Cricetulus griseus: one gene and its partner. The protein of the gene in region 1 interacts with the protein of each later gene in a pairwise test. Links are inferred from orthologs where the notes say so. Each region holds a gene or a part of one and is shown in the gene's direction. Other genes may lie near its edges.

What was found. The genes of interacting proteins can lie anywhere in the genome.
Region 2: the proteins of Stx5 (region 1) and Stx3 interact in binary tests that used the Homo sapiens proteins (3 or more experiments, as listed by UniProt). The link is inferred for Cricetulus griseus from reciprocal best matches to the Homo sapiens genes STX5 and STX3.

What each region holds. Positions count from the first base shown.
Region 1 is NC_048596.1:51,348,324-51,352,325, reverse strand, and holds part of Stx5 (syntaxin-5), read left to right. Parts: intron 1-1,210; coding exon 1,211-1,327; intron 1,328-1,412; coding exon 1,413-1,469; intron 1,470-1,609; coding exon 1,610-1,691; intron 1,692-2,366; coding exon 2,367-2,473; intron 2,474-2,602; coding exon 2,603-2,724; intron 2,725-4,002. UniProt on the Homo sapiens protein: Mediates endoplasmic reticulum to Golgi transport.
Region 2 is NC_048596.1:48,783,334-48,788,107, forward strand, and holds the start of Stx3 (syntaxin-3), read left to right. Parts: upstream 1-1,711; 5' UTR 1,712-1,861; coding exon 1,862-1,891; intron 1,892-4,774. UniProt on the Homo sapiens protein: Potentially involved in docking of synaptic vesicles at presynaptic active zones. Apical receptor involved in membrane fusion of apical vesicles.

The sequences.
Region 1 (4,002 bases):
GTTATCAGTGAATATGAGTTCAGGGTTCTGGAGAGGTGTAAAGTTGGGTCTACTTGGGAAGCCTTTAAAAATGCTTAAATTTTATCTTTGATCAATTTCTCATACTTTAAAGATTTTTCTTGGGGGGCGGAGTGTTGGGGGGGTGTTTTGAGACAGGGTTTCCCTGTGTAGCTTTGGAGTCTGCCCTGGAATTTGCTCTTGTAGACCAGGCTGGCCTCGAACTCACAGAGATCCACCTGCCTCTGCCTCCCAAGTGCTGCCACCACCGTCCAGCATACTTTAAAACTTTAAGTTATATTGTGGTTTTGGGTGGTGGTGCCTGAGTACCATGGCATGCATGTGGAGTTGGTTATCTCTTTCTCTTGTATGAGTCCCTGGGGTGGTTTTCAGGTTTCCAGGCTTGGCAACAAGCTCCTTTATCTGCTGAGCCATCTTCCTGGCTCTCATACTCCTATTCTTGATGCCTTGCATGTCCTCCTCTCTGATACCTCCCTGGGTCATAGTACACTGGGACAGGTTTTTTTCTGCCCTCATTGGGGAGAATGGGATGTAGGTGACACAATGGCTGTGATATGAAGTCACTGTATATGAGTTTGAATAAATCACAGCTAATCATTTGTAATATTAGACATTCTGTGCAAAAATTTGCTTCTTGCGGTTTCCTGCTTTTTTTTTTTTTTTTTTTTCAAGACAGGGTTTCTCTGTGTAGCTTTGGAGCCTGTCCTAGAACTGGCTTTGTAGACCCTGCTGGCCTTGGAACTCACAGAGATCCACCTGCCTCTGCCCCCTGAGTGCTGGGATTAAAGGTGTGCACCACCACTGCCTGGCCAATGTGTAGCCTAGGCTGGCCTCGAACTCGTGATCCTCCTGCCTCCACCTCCTTCAGAAAATCCTATCAGAATGCATCACCACAACGAGCCTTTTCCTGGGTTTTATTCAAGTAATCTGTCAGCATGTTCTAGGTACAAGATTTTGGCCTTTGAAGGGTTCTATGACCTCATAGGGTAAAGTATAGCAGAAAGGAAGAGGGCAGAGAAGTCATTCCTTTTTCTGCAAGGAATGACCAGAGTTTGGAGAGTCCTGTTGCCACCTGATCTGACTAGACACTTTACTAGTAGGGGTTATTTTGTCCTCCCTGCCAGAGATGGCACAGATAGGGTCAATGACTGAAGACTCCCTGCTTGATACTCTTCTTCTGGTCTTTTAACAGGACATCAATAGCCTCAACAAACAAATTGCTCAACTTCAAGATTTTGTGAGGGCCAAGGGCAGCCAGAGTGGCCGGCATCTGCAGACACATTCCAACACCATTGTAGTTTCATTGCAGGTGGGACCCTGGGGATGGAGGGAGTAAGGAAGGGGATAACAAAAAGTATCTTCTTTGAATGACCAAATTTCCTTGCTTTTTATAGTCAAAACTGGCTTCCATGTCCAATGACTTCAAATCAGTTTTAGAAGTGAGGACTGAGGTAAGTTGGATCTATAGGTGGGTAGGAATCTGTGATATGGACCAAGAGGAAAAGGGGAAGGGACAAGTTACCCAGAGTCATGGGGTCAACATACCCACTTTCCAGAGACTCAGGACCTTTGCATTTCCCCCCAACATCAGAACCTGAAACAACAGAGGAACCGTCGGGAACAGTTCTCCCGGACACCAGTGTCGGCCCTGCCCCTTGCCCCCAACCACCTTGGTAAGTCAGAGGCAATATGGGAAGCCTAGGAGCTAAGGTCTTCTGACTGCGCTGGTAGGTGTGGAGCAGGAGAATGGAAGAGCCAGGATGGTGCTAGGCATTATCTCAGAGGATAAACCTGGTTCTAAAGTTTCATGATCCACACTCACATATTCAGAAGAATGACAGTGTCTGACTTTTTGTGTAGTCAGTCACATTCTCTTAATTTTCTCATCCATCCTTAGAAAGCAACTATTGTTAGCTCCATTTTACAGATGAGGAAATTGAGATTCAGAGAGGTTAGTCTATCTAGAGCTGGATTTAAACCTAGTGCCAGTGAGTTTTGAATGTGTTTTGTTCGCTTTGTTTTTAGAGCTAGGGTTTCATGTAGCTTGGGCTAGCCTCTAGCTTGTCATTAGCTGAGGACTGACTGACCTGACCCTCCTACCTTAAAATCCCTATTGCTAGTATAACAGGTATATGCCACTGTGCACTGCTTGCATGGCATTTTGTTGTTGTGAGAATGGGTCTCAATTTGTAGTCTTGTCCTGGAACTCACTATGTAGATTAGCCTTATACTCAGAGATCCTTTTGCCTAAGCCCCAGGAATGCAGAGATTAAAGTCATGTGTCACCATGCCAGGCCCTGAACCTGCTTTTAATCATTAAAATGTGCCACGTCTTATTTCTTCCCTAGGGGGAGGACCCATAGTTTTGGGAGCAGAGTCCCGAGCCTCCAGGGATGTGGCCATCGACATGATGGATTCTAGAACAAGCCAGCAGCTTCAGCTCATTGACGAGCAGGTACCCAGGCTCTGAAATCAGGAGGATCAGTTCCTCTGTCTTCTGTGTTCCCCAGAGTGTTTGGAGTGTGTCATGGTGAAAAGATCTTAAAAACCCAGGCCCTAGTTCATGGTGCTCTCTCTTGTGAAGGATTCCTACATCCAGAGCCGGGCAGATACCATGCAGAACATCGAGTCTACAATCGTTGAGCTGGGCTCCATTTTTCAGCAGTTGGCACACATGGTGAAAGAACAGGAGGAAACTATTCAGAGGTAAGACACTCTCACCCATGTATTAGAACTTTCTCTTCTTCATGGATTAGCATCTTGAAGTTCCCAGGGGCAGCTTGGTGGTCTTTGAAGAATGAATGAATCCTTCCCTCCCATGAGTCCTAATTCACCTGCTTCTACTCATTCAGTAAGAGTTTTTTGAGGGCCTGATATGGTAGTGCCACCTTTAATCGAAGCAGGCGGATCTCTTGTTTGAGACTAGCCTAGTATACATAGTGAGTTCCATAGAGAGGGCTACATAGAGAGACCCTTTGGGGTGGGGGTGGGGGTGGGGGTGGGGGTGGGGCAGTTTTCTGTCTGCATATTTCCCTGCAGACCAGAAGGGGGCACCAGATCTCATTATAGATGGTTGTGAGCCACAATGTAGTTGCTGGGAATTGAACTCAGGACCTCTGGAAGACCAGCTAGTGTTCTTAACCAGTGAGAGCCATCTCTCCAGCCTGAGACCCCCCCCCCCTTTTTTTTCTTTTTTTTAGTAAAAGGTGGTGGCGGTGCACACCTTTAATCCCAGCACTCGGGAGGCAGAGGCAGACATATCTCTGTGAGTTCAAAGCCAGCCTGTTCTACAGAGCTAGTTCCAGGACAGCAAGGGCTGTTACACAGAGAAACCCTGCTTTGGAAAAACAAATAAACAAAAATAAATAAATAGAAAAGAAAAAAAAAAAAAAGACCGAGGGCCTGGAAATACAGCCTGGTTGTAGAGAGTTTGCCTACTATATATGAAGGCTTAGGATCAGTCTTCAGAATCATAGAAAAAGGGAAAGAAAGCAACTGGTGGAATCAGCTGGCTGGCTCAATGGATAAAGGAAGTTTCTGCATAAGTCTAGTGACAGGAGTTTGATCACTGCAATCAGAAAGGAGTGACCAATGCCACAGAGTTGTCTTCTTTCTGCTACATCTGTGCCTCTCCCTCCATAGTAATAAATAAAAGTGTTATAAAAACAAAACACAGCTGAGAAGGGAGCACAGTGTGCTGACCTTTCTTGAGCATTGTCTGAGCCCAGGAGTCCAAGGCCAGTTTTATAAGTGTAGTCAAGCACTATTTCAAAAACTAAAAGAGAAGGCTCAGCATTAAGTTAAGAGAACTTGTTCATTTTTCCAGAGGACCTGTGTTCAATTGCTAGTACCCACATGGTGTTTTACAGCCATCTTTAACTCTGGTTCTAGGGGATTCAGTGTCCTCTTTTGGCCTCCACAGATAACCTGTGCAAGTGATGTAAAACATGCAAAACACATTAACTAAGTTTTAAAAAAATGAAT
Region 2 (4,774 bases), about 2.6 Mb from region 1:
CTGAGAAGTAGAGTAGAGGTGCTGAGTCGACAGTTGATGAGATGGGGAGGTGGGGTTTGCAGGGTATGGGGTTGAGAGACTTTAAAAAATATTACCTGTGTGAGTGTTTTTTGCCTCCAGATACCTGTACACCACATTGTGCAGTGCCTGTAGAGGCCAGAAGAGGGCGATGCATCCCCTGCAACTGGAGTTACAGGAGGTTGAGAGTCATGTGGATGCTGGGAATTGAATCTAGGTCCTTCCGTCAGTGATCTTTCCCGCTGAGCCATCTCCGCCCGAAAGCAATTATGTATTAACAGGACTCCTTGGTTCTTGCTTCAAAATGAATCCTTCCTCCTTCCTTACTGCTACACTTCTGCCCAGACTTCAGAAGTCTACACTTCAATAAGAGTGTTTCATTGTAATCCCTTTTACTGGAGAGATTAAAACAGGAGAATGGCAAGTTCAAAGCTTGCCTGGGCAATTTAGGGAGCGTTTGTCTGAAAGTTAGAAGAAAACAAAAGGACTGGTGCTAGAGGGAGCTCAGTGGTAGAATGTTTTCCAGGTGTATGCCAGGCAGGAGGTTCAACCCCAGCCATAGGGTTTACGACCGCCAGGGGGCGTGAAAGCCCTCGCAGTCCGCATGGGGCACAGCGGCAGAAGGACGCGAGAAAAGGGATTAGAGTTGAGAACTGCAGGGCTGGCCCACACAGCCCAAGCCCTGCCTTACTTGACGGTCTTTATGGCAGCGGAGGAAATCAGTAGGAGAGTGCACATCGCAGAGGGCAAAGTTCGGTTAGAACTGACGTATCTACGACCTTTAAAACTGAACGCAAAGAGCAAGATCCTTCCCAGTCTTCGCTGGCTCCAATTGTTGACCACCACCCCGCTTGATATGCCCAAAATCAGACAGGGAGGAGACGGGGGTAGGGGCACGGTTGAAGAGGGAAGGATGGTGAGAGGAACCACACTTCTCTAAAAAAGTTCTTCAAATCCGGAGCCTCTTTACAGCAAGGGGATGGGTGGAGTTTAAGTTTTCCAAACCAACCCTGTCCTGCAGTTACAAGTCAGTTGCTTCTTTCTCTCACAGGCTTCGCAGCAAACTGCTAAGTGGTTTCTGATTTATGGCTATGGGAACAGAATCCTCTAAAGGAACAGGACTTCCCTAACAGTTATTCAAATTGTTAGTAAAAGGTGACCGAACCGCCTACACGTCTCCAAGAGGCCCTGTGGCCACCAACAGCATAACTCCCCCAAATTCCTCGCCGCAGCCCAACCCACTGCGTCTCATCTCCAGGTCTCTGAGCCCGGACTTTGCAGTTCTGTACCTCGCAGCTCCTTTCTTTGAGGCAGAGTATCTCTTGAGCATCATCGGAACATTTCCCCCCATCAAAGGGAGCAGGAGCCAGCTTGTCTTTAACCGGACTAGTCCGCGAAGGGTTGGACAACATGGGCAGTACAGAGAATACGGAATCGAAGCCGGACAGATCCCTTCTCCTTTTCTCTGCCCGGCGGGCGGGGCCGGGAACCCCGAATGCTTCTGCTTCCGTGGATGCTATGACACACCGGGCCGGTGACGTTGGATCGCGCGCGGGCCCTTTAAGCAGGAGCGCGGGGCGCGGCCCAGGTACGGGGCGGGTCCAGGGGCGGGCGGGCGCAGAGCCGGCGCTGGTCTGGGAGCCGGATTTGGAGCGCGGCGCCGGCGGGGGCCGGAGGGGGCGGCGCGGCGGACCTCGGTGGCCTCGGACGCTCCTCCTCGTGAGCGGCCGCCGCCCGCCTCCGCCTGCGCTAGCAGCTCCCTCGCCCCGGCCGGCACCCGCTGCCGCTCACCTGGGACGCGCTCACCTGGGACGCGGTGCCCGCCGCTCGCACCTGGGCCAGGATGAAGGACCGGCTGGAGCAGCTGAAGGCCGTGAGTTTGCTGCGCCTGGGGATCTGGAGCGCCTGGGGGCTGCGGAGATCCGCCGCCAGGAGGAGCGGCGCGGGAGGGGGGCTTCCCTTAGCCCCTCATCCAGGCCGCAGGGGTGCTCTGCGAGCTAGGCCTCACTCCTTAAGCCCCCGCCTCATCCCGCGGAGCTCTGTACCCTCCCCTCTCCTGCAGGGTCATGTGCTCGGTGATTCATCACCTAGCAGCGATTTCCCTCTACGCCCGTAACCCTCTCATCCCTGCTCCCCTTCCTCCCCCCTCAAGCTGGACAGGGTTCCTCCATAGCTGGATCCACCCCGGTAATTGAAATCAGTGGGGCTTATGTTATGGTGAAGTCAGGGGACTCAACCTCACCAGCTGCCTTCTGCCGCCTGGCACTGTGCCCCAAATCGGCCTCCTCTCCTCTTCCTTATTTCCCTCCTGGAGCACCGGGCAGGGCTACCTCATCCCCGGCGTAGCTGAGAGTTCCGGGTGACCTCTGGAGCTGTGAGCTTGTCAGGTGCTGGGATGGGCTCCCTTCCTGCCATCCGGTGGTCTCTAATTTTTTTTTTTCCTTACATCCCCTGAGACAGCTGTGGTCGTCTCTGCCGCACAACAGCTAAAAAGCTTAGGTCGCTTACTCTTTTCAGTCTGTTTCCTTGTCTGTCAAGTGAGAATCACCTCCTATAGGTCTGTTAGGAAGACTGAATGACACAATGGGACTTGATATAGGGAAGTGCTGAAGTATGAATTTTTGAGATCTAGATTCAATTAGTAAGTCATTGAGTACATTCTACGGGACTGGGCTAGTGTGAAACTTTGGAGACCCATCCAGTGATACAGGATGCCCCTTAATGGAATGTAAAGCCCAGCCCTGGATACTCGAAGTCCTATCTACCTGCCACCCTAGAAGTGCATCAGCTTAGGCCCCTCCCCTCACCCCCTGTCAAGACCTGGTGAAGGTCTCACTGAATCTAACTAGGTGATTAGTGAGCTCCTTAGAGTTGGGAAGTATTAGTCTGCATTAGCACTGGGGCTTTGTCCTGCCTGGCCCTGCTGCTTACTGGTTACCCTTTAAACTCCAAGCTTAAGTTTTGTCATTTGTAAAATGAGTAGTTGTATCAGCTAAAAGCAAGCAAGCCCACAGGGGAGCCCTTTGTATGATTTAGGACTTAATAAGTAGTAAGTGTTATGCTAATGACTGCTTTTTTTTCTTTTGAAAATAGAAATGTTGGAGACCAGTGGGTTGGTATTGTAATTGCTTTACTTTCTCCTCCCTTGCTAGAGTGAGGTCTTCCTGACACTGGTCATATGCTCTGGGTACTGGGCTGCAGTGTAGGCTTAGAAGCCAGAGAAGGAATGGGCAGTCACTTATGTAGTGGGAGTGAGCTTCTGCCCCAATTTGCTCTTTTATGCTTGAGCCTCGGGGCATCCTGGTTAACTAAAGTGCAAAATTTACTTGTCTCTGCTTTATAGGTGGGGAAACTGGAGCTCACTCTGGTGGTGGGTGGGGGTGGGGAGTGAGGTGAGGGGGATGCTCCCTGTTGAAGAGTTCAAAGCCGAACAGCAGTCACAGGCAGCTCCCTTCCTTTAGTTAGGAGATCTGTTTCTGGACTCAGGTACTCCCTGGCTCTTTTCGGTAGCTGGGTTGTCAACAGAGCAGTCTTACGTGAGCATTGAGTTCCAAGAAAGAAGGCATTTTCCAGGGGACCGGAGCAAATCCTTGTGCCTTTCAGTCCTTCGGGGCTAACCACTGTAAAACAGGGCTACCCTGGTATGTAGTGAAAGTGAGATGCTGGATGATGCTGTTATTATGGCAGTGTTCTCAAACCACAGGCAGGCTGCTGCCCTTTTGGAGCCCTGCAATGCCAAGAAGACTGGGTTGAGGTTCAAAGACTTCTCTAATTGAGGCCTTGGCGCTTAATAGCTGGGATCCTTTTGCAACTTCACCTTTGTGTCGCTGCCACGGCTTTTGCTTCTTCTGGGTTATCTCTATTTATTCATTGACAGTTTCATACACATCCACAATGTATCTTGATCATATTTGACCCATATCCTCCCTCCACTATCATCATGTAGCCTCTAATACTACCCCCTTTGCACCTTCATGTCTTCTTTTTTTCTTTTATTTTCCTCTTTAACAATCTTATATACCCTCTTGTGAGATAGTATACTTTAAGTGTTCTCAAAACAAAAATGATGAATATGTGTGATATAACATGTTAATTGGTTTAATTTAGCCATGCCATTGTGAACATACTGTATTATGTATCATAATTGTGCATGACTTTATTTATGAGCTAAATAAATGAATGGAAAAAAAAAACTTATATAACCACTGAGTCTAATAAGTATGCATGCAAATGAGTATGGGGCCATCTACGAGAACACGGGCAGGCTACCAGGTCCAGAAGGAAGAAAAAAGATTCCCTCTGTCCTAGAAGCCATCAACTGCCAATAGCTCCTCATCTAGGGCCGGAGCCTCATGAACCCTCGCCCATCTGTCATGGAATGCCGACTGACTAGATTCTAGTCTGTGGGTTCATGAGTGCTACAGTCATGTCATGTCCAGAAGATAGCATTTCATAGCAGTTCTTCCCATCCTGGCTCAGAAACTTTCTGCCGCCTCTTTCACTGTATCCCCTGAGTCTGGATGCTGGTGATACAAATGTCCCTGCTAGGGCTGAGCACCCAGCTGCCCCCTCCCTCCCCCCCCACTTCCAGCACTGACCAGTTAGGAGTCTCTGTATTGACTGCTGCCCACTGCACCAAGAAGCTTCCCTGATTACGTTTGAAAGCAGCCCTGATCTATGGGCATAAGCATAAACATCTAGAAGACACTTTGACAGCATGACCATTTAGGAAAGGTACCTTCACCTCCAAGCTTCT